Mus musculus: one gene and its partner. The protein of the gene in region 1 purifies or fractionates together with the protein of each later gene. This does not show direct contact. Links are inferred from orthologs where the notes say so. Each region holds a gene or a part of one and is shown on either strand. Other genes may lie near its edges.

Evidence for each region. Proteins that work in one complex are often made in the same cells at the same time.
Region 2: the proteins of Pde4dip (region 1) and Prkacb purify together in Homo sapiens (affinity purification with mass spectrometry; 5 studies listed by BioGRID and IntAct, counting the BioPlex papers as one, with this or other methods). This does not show direct contact. The link is inferred for Mus musculus from reciprocal best matches to the Homo sapiens genes PDE4DIP and PRKACB.

The regions. Positions count from the first base shown.
Region 1 is NC_000069.6:97,696,640-97,700,288, reverse strand, and holds part of Pde4dip (myomegalin), read left to right. Parts: intron 1-304; coding exon 305-494; intron 495-1,055; coding exon 1,056-1,180; intron 1,181-3,074; coding exon 3,075-3,299; intron 3,300-3,649. UniProt on the Homo sapiens protein: Functions as an anchor sequestering components of the cAMP-dependent pathway to Golgi and/or centrosomes.
Region 2 is NC_000069.6:146,810,408-146,814,156, forward strand, and holds the start of Prkacb (cAMP-dependent protein kinase catalytic subunit beta), read right to left. Parts: upstream 2,540-3,749; 5' UTR 2,277-2,539; coding exon 2,231-2,276; intron 2,224-2,230; exon of another isoform or gene 1,794-2,223; intron 1-1,793. UniProt on the Homo sapiens protein: Mediates cAMP-dependent signaling triggered by receptor binding to GPCRs.

The DNA.
Region 1 (3,649 bases):
AAGAAATCAGTGCTGGTCTTTGATAAGACTGGAGGTGTACAGTTGAATAGCTGCCCACGAACACCTAGAAAACGCTGAGCTTCGGGAACTCGCTGTCTCCTCTAAGAGCTAGGGCAGGTGTTCTTAAATGGAGGGTCAGATACCACAAACACCACTGCCACCCAAGCCCCAGTACGTAGGGTCCACTAAGCCAGACTGCTCGGCCACACGGGACCTTCCTTCCCCTGGCCTCACGTGTGCTTGGGTTTGTCTTTCTCATGGGCTTCAGGCCATGACATAAATACCCCTGTGTCCCGCTCATCAGGACACTCCCAGGAAGTGGATCACCTGCGGGAGGCTCTGCTCTCCTCCAGATCCCAGCTTCAGGAGCTGGAGAAGGAGCTGGAGCAGCAGAAGGCTGAGCGGCAGCAGCTCCTGGAAGACTTGCAGGAGAAGCAGGATGAGATCGTGCAGTTCCGAGAGGAGAGGCTGTCGCTCCAGGAAAACAACTCCAGGTAGGCAGGGCCTTGATATGGAATGGCCCGGCTTCTCAGTGCAGAAGGGATATTGACAAATCAGTAGTTTCCTCCTTTGGGAACTTCAGTTCCTTCTTTACTCTTCTGCCTCACTGGTCACTTGGAGCAAAAGGAAGACTCTATTTGAGACACACACACAAAAAGAGAGAATAGTGTTTTTATAGTATGAAGTAGAGTGATAAAATCCTATTACAGAGGTTTCCATCTGTCAGAGACTGGCAGGAGAGCAGTCCCACCCTTCTCACTAGATGCATGACATCACTCTTGCCATAAACTGCAAGTTGTTATCCCAGTGGAAGCCCTGCATCTTTCTGTCAATGTGGAGAGCACTGTGGGGCAGAGAGGGGCTTGTAGTGTGCTTACACTGCTGCCTGCACACAGAGCTAGTGTTCCAACTTCAGGCTAACTAACTTTACCTGCCCCAGAGTCTGCCAAATGAATGTGATGGCCAGGCCATCCTACCAGGCCAACTGAGGCAAAGGTTGGCTCGAGGCTCATTTCTCCCACTTGGCTCAGTAAACCCTTGCCTCTCCTTGGCAGGCTGCAGCACAAGCTGGCCCTCCTGCAACAACAGTGCGAAGAGAAACAGCAGCTCTCCCTGTCCCTGCAGTCAGAGCTCCAGATCTACGAGTCCCTCTGTGAAAATCCCAAGAAGGCCTTGAAAGGTATGAGCCCCCATTCTCACCAAAGCCCAAGGGTTGACATGAGCAGATCAAGCCTGGGTACCCTTAAGGACAGACTGAAAGATCACTTCACCCACTTAATAAAAAAAAGCAACTTAATCAGGAGCAAGATTATAGCATGGTTTATATAAAGAAATACCCTAGGGCTGTCACCATCTGAAAGGATCCTTACCTGTGCTGAAGGACAGACCATGACAGCCCATACCATCAGCATCTATCCCGCCTCCCTTCCCCAAGTGGAGAAACCGACTCAAAACCAAAAGAAAGGAGAGGTAAGAAGTCAGGGCAGTGGGAAGGGAGGCTGCTGCCACATAGAAAGCCTAAAATTCAAGACCAGAGTTTACTTTCCAGGAAGACGGCTCCAGAGTTTTAAGATGCTGAGTCTATGGAACATACTAGAGTCAGGACTTAGGAGACCTCCAGTCTGGGAAGAATTTTGGATAAATGTAGCAGTGTTTTTAGATCAAGAGACAAGGTCCTACTGTGGAGATAAAGGACAGCAATAGCCATGCTAATTCAGAAGGGGGATAGCAAATAAGGCCCCAGCCCTGGGCAGAGGACCACAGGCCCTAGGGAAGAGTGCATCACCTGGTTATCCACCATCAAATGCTCAGCCCAGAAAACACAGGAGTGACATTATAGGGACTGAGCAGGTGTGTGTGTGTGTGTGTGTGTGTGTGTGTGTGTGAAACAATTAGGCCATGAGCTGGAAGGGGGTGGTTATATGGTTGAAAGGGAAGGGTGAAATGATATAATTTCAAAAAAATTTAAAATTGTGATAAGAGATATGGTACAACTGGAAGATAAGGGCAATGAATGCTGGGAATATTTTTTTCAAAAAACAGTCAAAAGTTAGTGAGAACTTGGAATGAGAGGAAGAGAAAACACACTAGAACCTTCATCCATGAAGCTGCTTCATCATGACCACCCTTCCCCTGCACCACACACACACACACACACACACACACACACACACACACACACACACACACTGGGTTTGTGTATCCTTTTCATGCTGTGTTCTGTTAGTGCATGGGCCTTCCTGAGTTCATTTCAAACCAATTACTACTAATTCTTCATTTGAATTCCAAAATCCAGCAAGGTAGCTAAAGCTGCAGGCTTTTCCTGTACTCATTTGATGACAAAGCATTCCTGAAGAGGTGGGAGGACAGCCAGTCTCTGTCTGCTTAGACTGTCCACGTAGCCGGTGACAAAAATAATTATGTGTTGGGCTAAGGCCTGAGGGCTGAGGGCAGCTGCGCCCTGCAGGTAGTTGGAGGTATAGATAAAGTCTTGGTAAAATCCAAAACTAATTCTGCCCTTCAAAATATAAGTGGCTCTCAGGTTGGACTGTTGATTAGATCTTTTTATCCTTCCATATCAAATGCGTGTGGTAAGTGGTGAAGAGAAATTGAAACTTCACTTAGGAATGTTGAGCCCAGGTCTAAGACCTGACTGACTTCCCGTGTTTTGTCCCCAGAAGCCCCACGTGTTCGGATTATCCTCCCTGCATATGGAATCCGTCAGTTGTCCTCCCTCGACCTTCACTCCTTTTTCGTTCAGTGCTGACCTGCTTTCTAGCCTGCAGTACAAAGTTTAACAGGGAGATGACGCAGTAGGCATATTCTCACCTGCCAGTCCAAACGCCTCATGGGCACACATGACTAATCTGACCCTCAGAGAAATCCCAGGCTAGTTATATGCAACCTTGCTGTGCTCCCAGGGCTGAATGAGAAGGTTGTATCCCACAGACGTGTGGCCAAGCCCCTGAGACTCCAGTGGGACCCTTGGCAGAAAGGAATGTCACAGAGCAATATCTGACTATTACATGGAAATGCATACTGGTGCCATTAGGTGTCCTCCCTTCTACTTTCAGCTTTTAGCCTAGATTCCTGTCACCAAGTCCCGGGTGAGTTAAGCTGCCTGGTGGCAGAGATTCGAGCTCTGAGAGGACAGTTGGAGCAGAGCATTGAAGTGAACAACCGTCTTCGGCTACAGCTGGAACAGCAGATGGATCGTGGTGCTGGCAAAGCCAGTCTCGGCCCCATCGCTGTTGGCCAGAGCTTCCCAGACAAGGCAGAGCCAGCAAACCTGCACCAAGGTAGGGAAGAAGAGGAGAGCCAGAGCCCTCTGCTCTGGGATGTCTGTGGGACGGGACAGTCTTGCTGAACCCATCAGTGAGGGTCAGACAGAATCTGGGGATGTTCTGGGGCCTCCCGAGTGACAGCCTGGCAGTTAAGATCAGGCCTGTCTCCAGATTCTGAGTTTGCTTCTCACAAGCCAGCATGCAGCATCCCTGGACTTGAAGCTCAGGGCACAGAGGTAATTACATCTGAAACTTACTTTGTCTTAAACGCTCAAGTGTCTTACTCTTAGTTTACTCCACTTGAAAATGGGGCTTATAAAAAAAAATATAGCCCGTATGGTTTTCTATAGTATTAAATAAAATAA
Region 2 (3,749 bases), about 49 Mb from region 1:
AGAATTCCCTGTCTGTGGGAGGCACTTCCTCATCAAACTGCAAATCTTACCTTCCTATCTTTAATTAGCTCTTCAAACCAAACACTGTGCTGCTGGTAACGTCTTGTGGTCTAATTTACTCTCAGCTCCAGCACTGACACTCTGCCTTTCACCTGATGCTACACAGTAAGTGACACTTTAGGATCTTGTCCACAGGTCTACGAGGAAACCCAAGCAGGTGGTAGCTACTCTGAGAGAGGACAGATTAATTAGTGATGCAGAGGTAGTCAGAGCCTCAGAGCTGTTCTTTACTCTCTCGTTGATAACATGATCTCAATTCTTGTTTCTTCAGGTCTGGCACTTGGTTGGGTCTTGAGTTAGGATGATTTCGTAGACTAAACTCTTAAGTGTATCTCTTAAAGTGTATTCTGTGTATCAAGAGAAATTTAAATGATTACATTTAAAATATGAGCCACAAATTTTCAGGAATAATTCATCTGAAAAGTACACAGAAGAGTTGGGGACAGAGTGGTAAGCCATGTTCTGTCATTACGTTTTATGACATTGTACCACTTCTTTGCTACAGAAGAGCACCAGCACACCTGGCTGACACTTCCCCCTGTGAGCCCTGAGAGCTGAGCCATGACCGTCTCCTATATCCCATGGGACATCTGCTGTCTTCTTTCGACACTTCACAATATTTTTCAAATGATTCTAATGTTCTTCAGTTTCTATAAATAAGTTCACACAAGACTTTGTCATAGCTGCTAGTTTAAATGCATATCGTCTAGGGGAAGTGTATAGACTGCTGGAGAGTGGACTATCATTAAAAATATAAGAACTGTGCAAGATAGCACTTGCTAAGAAAATTACTGGGCTGATCCAACTATCAAGCATATTTTCATAACACAATTAGCATACATTGTACAAGAGAAATAGGGGAAAAGCAATGTTACATGGATATAGTATTTTGTCATACTTCATTTTTTGTGAGTCTGTACAATTAGTTACTACATTTGCACAATTACTAAGATAACAAGGAAGTCCTAATTCTACATCGGCTTTTCAAGTTGTCACATGCTCACCAACAGTTTGCCCTGCTGTTCCATGCCCTGGAACGAACCTTATTGATGAAACATAACCCGTTAAATCTGACTGTTGTTTACATTCCACAAAAGCAATAGCTAGACTCTCTTCTGTCAACTCAACTCTGCTTTGTTCATGAGAATCAAAAGCTGTTTGCTTCAAGCTAATTACAAGATTGGCTTCATTCTTCTGTTATAAACACAGACACAATGGAAGACGTTACTTACAGTAACACGAACAAATTGTCAGACTTACTTCAAGGACTGAGATGTCATTAACCTATGGCAATGTAACAAAAGTCAGGGACCGTTCTCTAATTATTGTGAATTATAAATTATAATATGAGCCGAATAATGGCACACAATTTTCTCACAGCCTGTTACACAACACGCATATATGTGTATGCTTACATATAAAACCAAGTTGCTACACAGAAACTCAATTCCCACGACCCTTTTGTCTTGAAATTTTGTACACAGTACTGAACGTCTGAACTTTCAGCTCTCGGAAGAAAGCACTTCAACTCTGAAATGCCTCTAAGTTTTACAGGCATCCTGGAACATTCCTGGATGTCTAGAGTAAACGCAACGCTGTCTCACTTATTTTTCCTCGAATGGATAAAGTTGCTGCTTGTATTTATGTCTGCCATCTCTAATCTCTTGGGTGAAAGAAAGAGCCTTAGACACTAAGGGTTAACGTCACCTTTGGAGACCCTCACGGACACTCACCTTGTGAGAAAACTGATATACATCCAGGAGAAGGAGAAAAAGCCAAGTCAACCCAAACGTACTACCTGTGGCTCCCTTAAAGGAGGGTCTGGGTGTTGGGGGCTCTGGGAGAAAGAAGAGCTAAGGGTGCGATCACAAAAGGACCATATTTGGGGACGCGTTCCAGACCGTGGCAGCCCTCCTCGCTCTAGTAAGAAAGGGGATCACAGGGACCTCGCTGCCCGCCTTCCCTCTCTCCAGTGAGCCCCGGGGCTTGGCCCTCACCCCCGAGCCTTCGTGGGGGAGGGGACAGAGGAGGAGGCGGCCGGCCCCCGCGGCCACTGCAAGGCCCGGCCCGTGGCTCGCGCGCGGCCTTGGGGGGGACACCGGCCCAGGGCGCTGCACCGCGCGGCGGCCCATCCGGCGGGAACCCAGCCAGGGCCTTCGACTCGACTCACCGCTCTCCACTTCGCTGCCTTTCTTGGCGATCGCAGTGTTCCCCATGACCCGGGAGTCCGCAAGCAGGGATGACGGAGGGGAGGGGACCGGGGCCGTCCCGCCGCCCGCCCCGCAGTCGGCAGCAACTTTGGCTAGGCTTTGGCTAGGCTCCCGCAGACCCTAGAGCGCGGCGTCCGGCTGCACGGAGGGGCTGGGTGTCCGGGAGAGATGCTGAGAGCTCTCCGGCAGAGACCGGGACCGTGGCGGTGGCGGCGGTGGCGGCGGTGGCGGCGGCGGCAGCGGCGGCGCGCGGACACTCCCCCTTCCCGAGCCCGCCCTCCACGCGCGTCCCCGACACGGCGCGTCCCCAGGAGCCGCACACCCGGACTGCGACCTCCGCCTCTTTCCGGGCGGGCGCGCCGGAAGTGACGCGGTCAAGCCCCCCGGCGGGCGGGAGCCCCTCTGTGCAGGGTTGTAGCGGTAACTTATTGCTTGTTGCGTGGATGCTGGGCTTGGCCGCGGAGGCTAAGCTCGAAGTAGCGAGGGACGTGGGGACCGTTAGTTTGGAAGCACCCCAGATCCTTCCTCGGCCTGGCATCCGGTGCCCCAGAGCCGGGCGGGGGGCACAGTGCCAGGGCTCGGCCTGCTCCCGCATCCGTGTGGCCCGCGTTCCGCACGCCGTGGTTGCTCTCGCTTGATCTTCCTGCGTGGCTGCAGGGACGTGCGTGCGCCCCTCCGCGTCCTGCCGACCCTGCTGACCCTGAGGTCAGCGTTGGCCAGGAATGTCTTTTCTCAGCTCCCAGCTGTCATTGGAACTTCTTCCCTTCGCTCTTCTAGGTATTCTCCCAACACACCAGGTCAATCACCAACATTCTTGACAGCTTATCCCTTCCCGAGTTCCTTCTTCATGGTCTCACCTGATTGCCCTCACAAATTCTGTCAGGCTTTCTAAGGAGAGATATGGGAATGTGTTGCCTGTTTTACACAAGTACGTTATGTGCATCAACACAGTCACAAATTTCAAAATAAACGCATTCCCAATTGATTGTTGCGCTTCCATGCATCTGAGAGTACTTGAGCTTTTCCGTGAGGTTATTAGAAATTAATCACCTAGCCCTCTGGTAGTTTTTGTTCTGGTTTTTTTTTTTTTTTTTTTTTTTTTGAGCTTTTGCTATCTAAAAAAAAAGCATTCCAAATTTAGAACAGAAAGATTAACTTCTGGAAGGGCAGAGACCATGTAAGTTTATTTTGTGTCTGCAGCACAAACCACAGTTGGCGCGTAATGAACGGATGGTTGTTGGCTGCTAAGGAGATTTCCCAGAACATTTTAAAAGTTTTGTTATTGGGGAAAAAAAGTAGCGGTGAGTGGAAGATTCTAAACAGATTCATACTTCTATTATTGGCAATTATGTTAAATTACCAAGCATGTACACCAAGTATACTGCGTTCTAAGTGTTGTACAAATAGTAATTAGTTTCCTCATAAAGTCCCTATGCAAATGTGGCAAGACTATCATTGTTTTACTTAAGATCCACAGAG